2 linked regions of the Macaca fascicularis genome follow. The protein of the gene in region 1 purifies or fractionates together with the protein of each later gene. This does not show direct contact. Links are inferred from orthologs where the notes say so. Each region holds a gene or a part of one and is shown in the gene's direction. Other genes may lie near its edges.

Region 1 (2,883 bases):
TATTAGACTTAGGGTCACTATGACAAGTGATTTAGCTTTAATCTTTGAAACAGATTAACTAAGAATGTCCTAAAAACAAAACTTCAATGATCCAGATTCCAGGAACCCATTTTGGCAGTAATACTTGGTTTTCAGAAATGCTGCTATGCCCAGGTGCAGTGGTTTACGCCTGTAATCCCAGCACTTTGGGAGGCCAAGGCAGGTGGATCAGCTGAGGTCAGGAGTTCAAGACCAGCCTGACCAACATGGTGAAACCCTGTCTTTACTAAAAATACAAAAATTTTCTGGGCATGGTGGCACACGCATGTAATCCCAGCTACTTGGGAGGCTGAGGCAGGAGAATCACTTGAACCCAGGAGGCGGAGGTTGCAGTGAGCCCAGATCTTGCTATTGCACTCCAGCCTGGGTAACAAGAGCGAAACTCTGTATCAAAAAAAAAAAAAAGCTTAACAGCTTTTTACCTGAACAGCTGGAAACTTTCTTCACTGATACAATTTGGTTTCTTTACTTACTAATGGTTAGTAGCCTCTCTAGATTCTTTTTGAAGAAAGCCCTTCTGATTAAATATGCTGTTGAATAATTGACTTGAAAAAGGATTGCTAAACAAATGACTTGTGTAACTCAGAAACAGTCTTTGACAAAAACTGACTTTAGTTCAGTCCCCAATTGTCTTATACAAAGTCACTTGTCTACTTCTCTGCCTCGCAGTGGCCATGGCATTGAGACTGCTCTGTCTCACCCACTTTGGTTTGGTAAAGCCCTAAAAGTATTTTCAGTGTCCAGAACAAAGCAGCATAGACATGGAAGATCTTTATGTGCAAGTCACTTGATTTTAGCTCTGTGTAGAAATTCTTCCATCCCACTTGATTCATACTTTTCTTTTTCTCACAGCTCCAGGCTTACACCCTGTACCTGGTGGAGTGTTCCCAGTCCCTCCTGCAGCTGTTGTTTTAATGAAACTTCTCCCTCCTCCTATCTGTTTCCAGGTTTGTTCACTTATTTTCACGGTAGATACTGGCTCTGTGGGTTACAGTAATTATGTATAAAGTTACTGCTATTTTAACTTGTCAGATTACTGGGATTAAAATTTATTCATGTCAAAATAGGGTCCTTTCGTACAAGTGGATGAACTGATGGAAATTTTCCGAAGATGCAAGATACCAAATAGTAAGTAACAGAAAATCCATTTCAGAGTGTCATTCCACATTGTTGTCTCATAAGCCGTAGAGATTATTATTCTCTGCCACTGAAGTTTTTGAAACCAGCCAGCCAATTTGAAGTACAGTGAAACCCAGGAGTTACCCAAACCCTCTTTGGCAGAGAGAGGCTTATTCATACTGAATTCCACTAAGTAAAATGTCATAAAAGTTTATCTTTTCTATTCATGTGAACATGTACTTTGGCTTATTAAAATTATTAGTTTTAACAGCAGCTTTTGTCTTTTTCTTTCATTATTTAGTATCAGTAGTACTATTCCATGTTTTGCTAAATTAGTAGGCTATGAAATGAACTATAAAGTGTCCACAGTTGAACATACATACCCTTTCATAGTGGAATATGTTTTTACGTTTTGTTGTTTTAACAGCTGTTGAGGAAGCTGTGAGGATCATTACTGGTGGGGCCCCAGAGCTAGCTGTAGAAGGCAACGGCCCTGTGGAAAGTAATGCAGTACTCACCAAGGCCGTCAAAAGGCCCAACGAGGATTCAGATGAAGATGAAGAAAAGGGAGCCGTTGTCCCCCCTGTTCATGACATTTACAGAGCACGGCAGCAGAAGCGGATTCGGTAGGGCTTAAACGCCTCTGCAGAAAACTCCTGTCCAGGATTCCTTTTGCCTCAAGTCGTATGTTTAAAAGAGACAACGCTTTGTTACAAGGTTCTTGGAAACAAAGTTGTATTGTCATTGGTGCCTCTATCATATGGTTCTTGAGAAAAACAAACCAACCTGTGTGAATTTTAGAATATGGAACAGACCTATGCTCTAAGCAAAATTAGGTTTTCAAAAATGTGAGAACAATACAAAATGGCAGAACCACATTTTGTTCCCTCTTCAAGGGTGTCTTGTATGTGCCGCTTGAAGATTTGTGAGTTTTTCAACAGTTTTATTTTAAAAACTGGATGGCTTATGATTGTAAAGCATTTTATCACATTTTCTGAAAACAATTGTTCTTGGTTTGCTTATGTAGAGTCCTGCCTTATTGTTTGTTTTTATTTATGGCAGAATGTATGAAATCCGTTTTGTAGTTTGAAATTTTAAAAGTCCTTTGAAAAATAAAAGGATTCAGAAACATCATGCTTCCTCTGCTCCTTTCAGATTTTATTTACAATAACTACCTGTTTTATGTTATTTATCCAATACCATTTAAAAATAAAGTCAGTACAAGGAAAAGTCATCTTGTATTTACTAAATGTATTAATCACATACTCTTTCCTGGTCTTTTTTGGTGCTAACTAAAAACATTTTTTTTTGTTTTTTTGAGATGGAGTCTTGCTCTGTTGCCCAGGCTGGAGTGCAATGGCCGGTTCTCAGCTCACTGCAAGCTCCGCCTCCCGGGTTTACGCCATTCTCCTGCCTCAGCCTCCCGAGTAGCTGGGACTACCGGCGCCCGCCACCTTGCCTGGCTAGTTTTTTTGTATTTTTTTAGTAGAGACGGGGTTTCACCTTGTTAGCCAGGATGGTCTCGATCTCCTGACCTCGTGATCCACCTCAGCCTCTACCATTTTAGAAATCCTCAAATATGAATGCATTTGCTCCCCAGTAAATCTGAGGCAGATTAAGATCCTGTTAATACTTTTGTCTCTCTTGAAAGCAACCTAAGTGTGGAAATTCCTTTAACCACCTGCTGTCTTGTTTTCACACAGTGTCCCTTATCTGAATATACTT
Region 2 (3,845 bases), on another chromosome or scaffold:
TCACTGCATGATATAATAAAAATCAGAACCAATCAATGTAGGGATAGTTAAGTAAATTTCATTATTCCATACTCTGAAGCCATAAAATGCTAATAACTAATTTATTTAATCACCAATTAATACTGAAATCGGTTATTATTAAGGAAGAAAACCGTAATATTAGGAATAGCACGACTGCTGCCCGTGTGCTCAAAAAAACCTAGAAGGGTCTGCCACCCATCCATTAACAGCGGTTATAGGAAGCAACAGAGCGGGGGCAGGGTCCAGCAGGCACACGCTTCAGTTTATATTTCTTGTCAGTTAATTTCCAAAAACGTTGTTCTAAAAAGGAAATATAATACTGTTTTACTTTAAGGGGCAAATCTCAAATGTGCTTTGAAACGACTACGCTTTTGCCTCAGTCTGGAATGTGATTTGAAATCTAGCTTAACTATACTATAATAAAAGGCCACATGAAAATACTTTGTCAGAACGAAAAACATGCAGCCTTAAATCCGCTTTCGGTTGGCGGTTTCCCGCCGGTGGAACGGAAGCAAAACCGCCTTTGACGTCAAGGGAGGAGTCCCCTCCCAGTTACTATGGTGAAGTCTATGCGGCCATCTTTACTGTGGTCATCTCGCACCAAGGGTGTCGTAGCGGGGCTGTTGGGGCTCCACAGAAAGTCGGCGGAAGGTGAAATGGGAAAGGAATCATGCGACTCTGTAATAAGAAGCTGACAGAACCACGAAGGATCAGGGACTTAAAGCATTAGATAACTTGTTAGTGGGATGCAGGTTCCACAGGCAAGCAGAACGATTCAAGCGAATTAGTAAGGTTTCTGCCCGGATCTTGAGAGCCGCTTCCGTTGCTCAGCGGAAGTGTCGGTCGCAAGAGGACAGACGCCTGGAAGAATCCGCTATCGGCAGTGTGCACAACCGGAATCATGTCGAGTTTGGCGGTGAGAGACCCGGCAATGGATCGATCACTGCGTTCCGTGTTCGTGGGGAACATTCCGTATGAGGCAACTGAGGAGCAGTTAAAGGACATTTTCTCGGAGGTTGGTTCTGTTGTCAGTTTCCGGCTGGTATACGATAGAGAGACGGGAAAACCCAAGGGCTATGGCTTCTGCGAATACCAAGACCAGGAAACCGCGCTTAGTGCCATGCGGAACCTCAATGGGCGGGAGTTCAGTGGCAGAGCGCTTCGGGTGGACAATGCTGCCAGTGAAAAGAATAAGGAGGAGTTAAAGAGCCTCGGGCCTGCAGCGCCCATTATTGACTCACCCTATGGGGATCCCATCGATCCAGAAGATGCCCCTGAATCGATTACCAGAGCAGTAGCCAGTCTCCCCCCGGAGCAGATGTTTGAGCTGATGAAGCAGATGAAGCTCTGTGTCCAAAACAGCCACCAGGAAGCTCGAAACATGTTACTTCAAAATCCACAACTGGCTTATGCGCTGTTGCAGGCGCAAGTAGTGATGAGAATCATGGATCCAGAGATTGCTCTGAAAATTCTTCATCGGAAGATACATGTCACACCACTGATCCCAGGCAAATCTCAGTCTGTGTCTGTCTCTGGCCCTGGCCCTGGCCCTGGTCCTGGCCCTGGCCCTGGGCTCTGCCCAGGACCTAATGTTCTGCTGAACCAGCAGAATCCACCAGCTCCTCAGCCTCAGCATTTGGCTAGAAGACCTGTGAAGGACATTCCTCCTCTGATGCAGACTCCTATCCAGGGTGGAATTCCAGCTCCAGGGCCAATACCAGCTGCAGTTCCCGGACCTGGTCCTGGTTCCTTAACTCCTGGAGGAGCAATGCAGCCCCAACTTGGAATGCCAGGGGTTGGCCCAGTGCCTTTAGAGCGGGGACAAGTGCAGATGTCAGATCCTAGAGCTCCTATACCTCGTGGACCCATGACTCCTGGTGGTCTACCTCCTCGAGGACTGTTAGGAGATGCTCCAAATGACCCACGTGGAGGGACTTTGCTTTCAGTCACTGGAGAAGTGGAGCCCAGAGGTTATCTGGGTCCACCCCATCAGGGTCCCCCCATGCATCATGCCTCTGGTCATGACACTCGTGGCCCTTCCTCACATGAGATGAGGGGAGGGCCATTAGGAGATCCCAGACTGCTAATTGGAGAGCCCAGAGGCCCCATGATAGATCAAAGGGGTCTACCTATGGATGGTAGAGGTAGTAGAGATTCTCGAGCGATGGAGACTCGCGCCATGGAAACTGAGGTCTTAGAGACACGTGTAATGGAGAGGAGAGGAATGGAGACCTGTGCCATGGAAACCAGAGGGATGGAAGCAAGAGGCATGGATGCAAGAGGATTGGAGATGAGGGGCCCTGTCCCCAGTACAAGAGGTCCTATGACTGGTGGAATTCAGGGTCCTGGTCCCATTAATATAGGGGCAGGTGGCCCTCCTCAGGGACCCAGACAGGTCCCAGGCATTTCAGGGGTGGGGAATCCTGGAGCTGGTATGCAGGGTACAGGCATACAAGGAGCAGGCATGCAGGGAGCAGGCATGCAGGGAGCAGGCATGCAGGGGGCAGGCATACAAGGAGGAGGGATGCAGGGGGCAGGCATACAAGGAGTGGGTATACAAGGAGGAGGCATACAGGGGGCAAGCAAGCAAGGTGGAAGCCAGCCTAGCAGTTTTAGTCCTGGGCAGAGCCAGGTCACTCCACAGGATCAGGAAAAGGCGGCTTTGATCATGCAGGTTCTTCAACTAACTGCAGATCAGATTGCCATGCTGCCCCCTGAGCAAAGGCAGAGTATCCTGATTTTAAAGGAACAAATCCAGAAATCCACTGGAACTTCTTGAAAGATTTTAGAAAATATTTGGCTGTAGTCTCAAAGTTTATTCTGTAGCATGGAGAATGGGTGCAAAAAGCTGACTTCTGCATCCCCACACTTGGATTAGGGTTTCCCTCCTCCTAGAACCTAATCTTACTTTTTGTTCTTTTTATTTCTTTCTGTTTTCCTTTTTTATTTTTAATTGAGGGTGGGGGGAGGAGGGAGTGTGTCTGTTCACTTTAAGTTACTGTAAAATAACTCTGAACATGACAACATTATGCCAAATAAGATTACAAAGAATAAGCAGCAATATTGAAGTGTCTACAGTATGTTAACTACATTTTTTAAATGTTGAGTAAAACTTTGTGAAAACTGCTCATAAAGACTAAAAGTTGACCTGTTAAAACGTTAATGTACTAAGATGGTTTTAAGATTTTTGGTTGTATAACAAAATAAAGTTTACCCAAAAGTATAAGACACATTTTTTGGTAAACCATTTAAAATACAAAATCCTATTGGAGGCAATAGGATAAGCATTGTCTTAGTGTTTTAGAATTATTTTTGAAATATTAGAGTTAACAGGATAAGGTTAAACTTGTATTAGAATTGTTTTTTTCTAAAGTTGTGTTACCTGAAAAATCAAGGAGTACACCTGGTTTACTGTTGCTTCATTTATCCCAGCCTTCAGAGACCAGCAAGGTTCTGCCAGGCCCCAAGCATCAGAGCATGTTGATTTTGCTGTGACAATTCTAAAATCAACCAGGTTACTTAAGTCCACTCTGATGAAACCCTATCTCTCAATACCTTCCAATTTCTCAATAGTCTTTAAGCCCTAAATCTGAGTCAGTAATTCTCTCACATCCTTCCCAAAAATCAGTGTCTAGGGACCAGTTGATCTGGATGAGTTATACATGATATTTGACTTTTCATAAGTAGTAGGTTTCACTAAGTAAACTCTCAGTTTCTTGGTATCTGGCTTTCATATACAGATGGTGTCCATTTGCTCCACCAGACAGAAGTTAAAAACCTTTAGACTAAACAGCATTTAACATGCCTTTTAGTTTTCTTATTTC

The links.
Region 2: the proteins of CSTF3 (region 1) and CSTF2T purify together in Homo sapiens (co-immunoprecipitation; 4 studies listed by BioGRID and IntAct, counting the BioPlex papers as one, with this or other methods). This does not show direct contact. The link is inferred for Macaca fascicularis from reciprocal best matches to the Homo sapiens genes CSTF3 and CSTF2T.

What each region holds. Positions count from the first base shown.
Region 1 is NC_088388.1:32,496,044-32,498,926, forward strand, and holds the end of CSTF3 (cleavage stimulation factor subunit 3), read left to right. Parts: intron 1-891; coding exon 892-986; intron 987-1,106; coding exon 1,107-1,167; intron 1,168-1,585; coding exon 1,586-1,788; 3' UTR 1,789-2,289; downstream 2,290-2,883. UniProt on the Homo sapiens protein: One of the multiple factors required for polyadenylation and 3'-end cleavage of mammalian pre-mRNAs.
Region 2 is NC_088383.1:94,861,315-94,865,159, forward strand, and holds CSTF2T (cleavage stimulation factor subunit 2 tau variant), read left to right. Parts: upstream 1-876; 5' UTR 877-922; coding exon 923-2,800; 3' UTR 2,801-3,244; downstream 3,245-3,845. UniProt on the Homo sapiens protein: May play a significant role in AAUAAA-independent mRNA polyadenylation in germ cells. Directly involved in the binding to pre-mRNAs.